2 linked regions of the Ovis aries genome follow. The protein of the gene in region 2 purifies or fractionates together with the protein of the main gene of each other region. This does not show direct contact. Links are inferred from orthologs where the notes say so. Each region holds a gene or a part of one and is shown on either strand. Other genes may lie near its edges.

Region 1 (3,904 bases), on a different chromosome or scaffold from region 2:
TTGTTTGCATGCATTAATTACAAAGATAAAAGCCTCAAGATAACTTTCACTGTTGCTTTTTGTACTCTCTCCATTGTTTTGGAGGAAAAATAAGCATCCAACAATAGACTAGAGAAAGTGAATCGATCATAATTGTTTCAGCTTTGACAAACACCAAACCTGCTGATTACAATGGAGACATTTCCAAGGGAAAACAAGACCCAACTTCAGCCTATTCAAACGAATTAAAAAATTTTTTTGAAGAATAGAAAATGAGTTTTAAAAAATTAGAAGCTGCTTAATGGATAGCTCTTTCCATGAACAACGAACTTGGATTTCTCAAAGAAGTAATACCCTAGAAATAAACTTAGAATGAAAGAAAAATCCACCACCACCCCCAATATACTGATACTTAGTAGCAAAGTGGAACCAGTTAAAAATGGAAACTGTAAGAATTAACCTAATTGGCAGGGCTGTGGAGCTAGTCCATGTCTATCAGTCATTTGTTCAGTTAGGGACTCCTAAGGACTTGTTGAATTGCGGGCTAGGCGCCTATCCTAACGAGAGTTCGCAGCCTTCACGAGCGGGGAAAGCCGGCGGCTCGGCCGGGTGCTTCATTCCCAGATTCAAGATGAACAGCCGGTAGGGATGCGAGATCCACGACCTGGACCGTGGGGGGCTCTGAGGTGATGTGCGGCTTGGCTGCGAGCCAAGTCCTGCAGAGAGCTTGGGGCCCAGACTGCAACGGCAGCGGAAGCACGAACGCGCCGGGGTCCCCTGACCGGGAGCAGGGCGGCGGCGGCGTCCGGCAGAGTCCAGAGCGGGTGGGCCCAGACCTCAGCTCCGGCATTGCCGCCGCCACCTCGGCCCTGAACTTTCACCCCCCAGGGACGTGTGCCGCCTGCCCCGCAGGGCCGGGGTCCCGATGCCGCCTCCCGCCGGTAGCCGGCAGCGCGCAGCCAGCCTCGCATCTGTTCTCATGGCCCGGGGCATGCGCGAGGCCGGGGCGTCGGGCTCGGGACAGTGGAGAATACCGGTGTCGCCCTCCCTCCAGCCCACCCCGGCTCGCGGAGACCCGCGCCTCCCTGACTCGGACTACCGCGCCCTGGCGGGCCGCCCTCCAGTCCCGCGCGGCGGGGCAGCGCCGGCCTCAACCTGGGAGAGCGCCCGCAGAGCGCGCGGGCGCCCCGCCCCTGCCCCGGGCTGGCGGACCGCGGCGGCGGCGGCGGCGGCGGCGGGCGGCTCCGCGGCGCGGGGACTACTTTCCGCCGCCCGCCCGCGCCCCGCCCCTTGTCCCCGCGCGGCGGAACGCTCCGCGCTGCGCCGCTGGCGGCAGGATACAGTGAATCCTGCGCGACTTATAAGAGCTCCTTGTGCGGCGCCATTTTAAGCCTCTCGGTCTGTGGCAGCCGCGCTAGCCCGGCCCCGGGAGCGAAGAGAGAGGGGAGGCGGAGACGGAGCAAGGTCCGAGGAGCAGCTCCGGTCCCCGTCGAGCCGCCAACGCAGGCCGAGGACGGTCGGACTCCCGCTGCGGGAGGAGCCTGTTCCCCTGAGGTGCTTGGGCGCTCCTTTCCTTACCCGTCTGGGGCTGCTCCCCTTCCCGCTTCGGAGCCAAACTTCGTCGCGGGCGCGCGGTCCCGGCGGCGGCTGGGAGCCGGACCCGGCGCAGCCCGAGGCCCCGGGGTGGGGAGCGGGGAGGGGCGTGTGGGCTGGGGGCGCCGGGGAGGCGGCAGAGGCGGACCGCGCCCGGGGGGCTGAGGGCGGCGGCCGGGCCCGGTTCCGGTCGCGCGGCTCCTTCGGGAGCCCCGGGGGTGCCGCTTTCGGGGAGGGGGCGCCGCGAGGGCGCGTCCGGGAGGTCGGGTGGCCAGCGGGGTGGGCGGGTGGGTGGAGGGGGCTGTGGTTTCCGTCCCGGGCTCAGGCCGCGGCTGAGTTTGGGGGAGGGACCCTGCGCCTCGGGATGCGCCGGGGCCGGGGTGGGGGGCGGGGTGGGGACGGGGGACTCCGCCTTCCCGGCCTCCGCGGGGAGTTGGGGTGCGGGCGCTGGGCCTGGGACGCCACGTGAGGTCCTATCTTTCGTGCTTAAGGACGAATTTTTTCGAGGGTTAATAAGAGGTTAGTGATTTTTAATGGCCTGCCGGTGTGAGTACGCTCGTTTAAATCGGAGCAACTTTAAACCTTAGAGGATCCAAACTGTTAGTGCAGACGGTGTGATGCGCCAGGAGGATTTGCACAGATAAAAATCCCTATCTTGCACCTACATTTTTTTGTACGGTGCAGGTGAGTGAAAGCGGGCGTGCTAGGGAGGTCCTGGGAAAAATAAGGGCGAGGGCGTCTGGCTTACTGTCTCTTAGCAAGTGACCCACAGGACTCAGATTGCGACTGCTTCGAGAATTGTGTGTTCCTGGAGATTCTTTATTCAAATAGTTTCACGGCAACTAAACTTGATTTTGAGAGCGCTTTCCAGCGGGGTGAATTTTCCCCTCGCTACGAAATGGCCCGCAGGAAATTCAAGCTTTGCAACTTCGTTCCGTGTTTTGTCTGGAGAGAGGACTTGGAACTGAGACTTTCAAAGTTCGCTTTTCACAGCCTCCTTCTGAGTCTACTAAACTTGAAAGCTTTGCCAGTCGGGTGTAGTTGTTTGCTTCGTTTTCTTTTCGGTGGTGGAGGGAGCATTGTCTCCTACTTTGTATCTTCCAGACATCTGTGGTCTCCCCCCACCCCCACTCCGGGTTTGTGAGTGGTGAATGAAGGGAGACTGGTCTGCTGGTATGCAGAGGTCGGCAAAAGGAAATCGAGGAGTGGTTTTAGTGAAACGAGAGCTTTGTGTCGTGAATAGTGGTGGCTTAGACTAGACAGCAGCTTGAAGAGACGGCTCGCCTTTGATAAAGTCTGGGCTGCTGTTTTTCAGATGGCTAAGTTGTAAGTATTTTGTCTGGAACTTGGGAAGCCGTTTCATTCTGTCTCTTGGTGTACATTCAGTACCTTCGGCTATCTTCCTGTTAACGTGTTTCCTTAAGAGATACTGGACATAGCTTGACTCTTTTGTTTGTTAATGTTTCTGTTTAATATCTGCTTAGATTAGTGACAAACTTGTTTGGGAGGCATTTTTTTCGGTCTGAACTAAGGCGGCTGCTACATTTATTTTATTTTTACATTCAAGCGCACGAACCTCTTGAGTTTAAAAAAAGGTGCCATTAATGTTTGCGAATATCTTTTCACGAAATTTGATTAATTTGCGTCCAGTATTCATTACTTTGACCTAGTCTTTGTTCTGAAGGCCATGTACAAGGCCCTAAAGTGATTGCAACAGTAACTTGAAAAACTTCCAGGAGCCTATTCTATAGGATTAAAGGAATGCTGAGGCTATTCAAGTCTGAAGTCCTTGAGGGGGAAATTAAAAAACTGTGCTACAAAGTTTAGTATAGCATGTAACTTAGAGTCCTTGAGGAGTTCTAGGCTTGAGATTTTCCCAGAAGCTAGAGCAGCCATTTAAAATTGCTTTCAAGAAAAACCAAATTTTAAAAGGTGACTTAAAAAAAGTAAAACATTTAGTAGTGTTCAAGTGTCAGTGTCCAGCATTTTTCTTTCGAAACATATCCTTTACCAAGATAATCGTGTAGATGATTATGTAGATTCCAATATTAAAACTGAAATCAGATTGAGCTTCTTACTGTTGCTAATGATAAATGGAATAAAATTATCCATATAAATGAAGTTGTATATTTTTCTTTTCATACACACTTCCCTCCTCCACTCCCCAAATAGGAAGAGAAAACTTGAAGTAGGCTGATTTCTCTAAGAGTGTTTTGAGATTTGGTTCTTGGGAAAGCTATATGCACACAGCCTGTTTCATTGTTGGAAGGAGTGGAAGGAAGAGCATAAGTATTGTTGAAACTAGGGACGTGGAGAATTCAAAAATTTGAAT
Region 2 (3,904 bases):
GGGGCTTCCAAACTGCTGAAGCAGATTTACAGAATATTATTAGTAGTATTATTATTTAATAAGAGGGAGAGCCCTAGAATTTCTTTCAGCCACAGAGCTCAGGGAAGTGGAAAAACATGTCTGGACAGGATGATTATGGAGAACTCCCTTTGAGGGATTAAAAAAAAAAAAGTAACCCTCAGAGAACATCCTCTAAAGTCCTCCTGGTTAAAAGAATCTCTTTACACACACACACACACACACACACACACACACACACACACGATAAAACCCCTGGAAAACCGGACACGACTGATGAAAAGCAAAAGCCAGGCAGAAATTTCAGTTGTGTTTGCCATGAACGACAGGGCTCATTTTGCATGCAGTGAGGTACAGCGGCCAGGTTGAATGGATGGAAAATCCCACTCTCGAATCTTACATAAATATCTCCTTCCAGCACATAGTTTTCCAGTTGAAAAGCTCCTATAATGAAGCCGGAGGTGACAGCCTAGGGAGGGTTGTTAACCACTGAGATGGCTGTCAGGAGTGCTGTAAAGAGGGCCGGCGCTTCCTAGGGGCCCCAGCCGCCCCCCTACCCCGTGCCTCGGATCAGTTTCGCGGTGGTACCCATTCGAGAGGGCAGGGCCAGTGCGCCTTCTCCTGCGTCCCGGTTCCCATTCTCGGCCAACAGATACTGTGAAGCCAAGGAAAGAAAGCCGGCTGATCCGCTGAGCAGCTCTGGCGCGCTAAGGGCATGGTCGAATCTTGCCTCTAAAGAGGCAACTCTGTGGAATCTTCAGGAAACGGTGGTAAAGTTGAAAGGACCCTTTCTCCCTTGCCTAATTATCAGCTCTATCCTTTAACTGGAGCTGAAGTGAGCAGCTGCCAGGGTGGTTTTCCATCACTGACTAATGCGCGTTCGCAACAATAAACAATTAATATTGTTTGATTTCTTACATGTAGCAGCTCAACCAAACTGCTGCCATCTCGGCTCGCGGAGACAAACGGCTCGTCCCGGACGTGCCGCCGGCTCTGTGCCTGCGGGGAAGGGTCTCGGGATCACGAAACTTTGAGGTTTCTGCCAGATTGGATGGGGAAGGGTCTGGGCTTGCGGAGAGGGAGAGGCACAGGAAACTGTGGATACCTGTTGGCATCCTCGTTGGCGGCGGCAGATTTTCACTGGCTCCCAGGCTTGGCTGGAGCCTGAGAGAACGGGGATCAAGTCCCTTATGAACCTGTTACGCGCTGCCAGAACCCGGGCAAGAATCCGCTTTTCCTCAGGTCCCGCGAGGGGCGCAGCCTGCCCTCCCTCCCCACCCCCCAAGGATTCGCGGATGGGGAGGAGTGAGCTGTCAGAAAGCGCAGCTCCGGGCTCTGGCGGAGCTAGGAGAGGGAGTCCGAGGGAGTCCCCGGCTCAGCTCAGGAGGCCTCTGCGAGCACAGTCTGGCGGGCTCGGAGAGAACCCTGCTTGGGTGTCTTGCCTGGATGCAGGGCTGTATCTCGGCGTCCACAGAGCCGCGGGGCCGCTAGGGAGCCCGGCAAGTTTGGAACCCGCACCGCGCTTCCCGGGGCCGGAGGAGCCACTTGTGGGAAAGCCGTGGGCTGGGGTTCTCACGGCTGAGTCGTGGCCCGCTGCCCCACTGCGGGGGTCGCCCTCCGTCTCCTCGGGATTGGGGTGGTGCGGCAAATCAGCCAGAGGGCACCCTCACCACCACCACCCCGCTCCCCTTCGCCTCCTTTCTGCTCCGGCTGGCACTTGCCTTTCAGCCGGCGGCGGGTGCTTCCCATTCACCGCACGGACCCCGCAGTGAAGGCGCGCGGCTGCAGCGGCGCCTGCCTATGTCGCGAGGCGGCGAAATCGCCAGGCGACCGCAAGAAAGGGAACCCGGCAGGAAAGCCGGAGGGGCACAGCCTGCTTGCTTCTCCCCGGGATCTGCTGTCAGAGCAGGTTGCAAAAATGGTCAGGTAAAAAACCCTGAGGTGATCCCATCAGCTGCGCATAGCAGGAAAGAAGATTTAGCTCAGCCCCACACTGGGGCTGCGAACCCACATGCACCATTCGAATGGAAGGAGGCGCGCAGGGTGCCGGAATGGGCAGGGGTATTCCTTAAAAAAAAAAAAAAAAAAAAGGTCCCTTCTGGGTCCTCGGGGCATGGATTAAAACGAGGGGTTTGGGTGGAGGATCACTCACTCTTGAGGGGCTCCGCGCGGGCGAATTTCAAGCCTCTTGGTTCACTAATGGCTGGAGGGGTTCGAGGTCTGCTCCCGAGGGCGGTGAACAGCGAGCGGTCCCCGCGCGCTGGGCAGACGCCTCCGGATCGCGTTCATGCCTCTCGGAGCGGCGGGGCTTGGTGCTGAGACGCGGGGCGGGCGCGCCGGGCTCTGAGTCTCCGCAGCCCAAAGTGCAGCTTCGCTGGGTGGACGCTACCGTCCGTGCACGAGCCGGCGACAGCAGATGAGCTCCGGGGAAGCAGGGAGATTCCAAATAGATCCACTAATTCTGGGCTGAGCGCTCCGGCGTGCAAGCCCGCCTGCCTGCCAAATGTAACTGTGAAGTGATGTGGAAAAGTGAGTCGGGTGCCTCCCCTGACGGATCTCATTGGGCAGAGCGCAGAGGCAGGTCTACCACTTGGAAATTCATGTAAGCGGGCCCCCTCCCCGCCCCCTCCCTTCCTCCCCCCACCGGCGCTCTGGCGCGCTCGCTCCTCCGTTCTCTCCCGCTACCAAGTGGGCGCACAACTTTTCGCTCCTCGCTCTCGAGCGCGCCCAGCGCGTCTCCGCCTCCGGAGCCACTAGGCGAAGATGCGCCCTTCCGTGCGGTGCGCGCCGCCCGCGGAGGGCCAGGCTCCAGGGTAAAAGGGCTGGCAGACTACAAAAGGATGCGGACGAATGTCCCCGCGAGCTTTCTCTCTGAATCTTCCCGGAGCTCTGGGGCTAGCGGGATCTTGAAAAGCGTCCCAGTGAACCACGGCTGTTTTCCTTGGGAGGAAGAGGACGCGACAGGGCAAAGGGGTGCGCGGGGGCGTCTTGTCTCCTCTTTAAGCCAAGATCCTCAGGCAGACCAAGTGGGGGTGTCGGAAGGACCAATGCGTGCTTCTCAGACGCTGTGGTTTAGAGGCACGGTGTCGCGGTCCTGTGGGTGGTGCGCATTCCTCATATCCCCAGGCTTCTACTTCTGCAGGGAGATGGGATGAGGAAGCGCAGACGGGCAGATGCAAGGGATGCATAAGTAGGTGCGAAAAAAACGAAACTTGCTTGGGAGACTGCTAGGAGAGACTGCTAGGTCTTCTCAACGTGCCCTGGCCTGCAGATCTCTCGGGCACCAGACTTCTAGCTCCTTTGCTTCCGCCCCGAGATGCGCTTTCGAATCCTTTGATGGACTCCACTCAAACGTTGAGAATCGCCTACCATGGATCAGAGCCCGTGCAAGAGGAGGATTCAGGAATCAGGAGGTCCAGATATATTTTCCTCTCATCAGTGAGGCAAACACGTAGAAATAGGCAGCTATTTTAAATAAAATTTGTGAAAATTAACATGAGCTAATCCTTATTCCTTTGTTAACTCCCCTCCACAGAACACTTAGTCCATTCTCTGTGCGCTAAGGCTGAACTTTGAGGAAGGGTTTTACTACCCGGGAACAAAGTCAAGAATGGAAGAAGAAAAAAAGGGTATGGAGAACCAGACAAGAGGTCCGTAAAGCTTGTACTATCTGACTTCAATTAATTAGAGTGAGGAGAATGAGAAAAGAGACACAATATGCTTATAATATTTATGCAATTTTGACTTTTTTTGTGTCTGTCTACCATCCCATTGAGAGATGTTGAAAAGGATGCTGACTATAGGTCTAATATCTGTTTCACATTCTAGGTGATTTAGGGAAGAAACTGAATTATTTCAGAGCAGGGAGAAGTGAAGAGATGCAGGG

What was found.
Region 1: the proteins of CDH8 (region 2) and CTNNB1 purify together in Homo sapiens (co-immunoprecipitation; 3 studies listed by BioGRID and IntAct, counting the BioPlex papers as one, with this or other methods). This does not show direct contact. The link is inferred for Ovis aries from reciprocal best matches to the Homo sapiens genes CDH8 and CTNNB1.

Annotation. Positions count from the first base shown.
Region 1 is NC_056072.1:13,821,513-13,825,416, forward strand, and holds the start of CTNNB1 (catenin beta-1), read left to right. Parts: upstream 1-1,367; 5' UTR 1,368-1,533; intron 1,534-2,001; exon of another isoform or gene 2,002-2,091; intron 2,092-3,904. UniProt on the Homo sapiens protein: Key downstream component of the canonical Wnt signaling pathway.
Region 2 is NC_056067.1:29,343,041-29,346,944, forward strand, and holds the start of CDH8 (cadherin-8), read right to left. Parts: upstream 2,532-3,904; 5' UTR 2,171-2,531; intron 1-2,170. UniProt on the Homo sapiens protein: Cadherins are calcium-dependent cell adhesion proteins. They preferentially interact with themselves in a homophilic manner in connecting cells; cadherins may thus contribute to the sorting of heterogeneous cell types.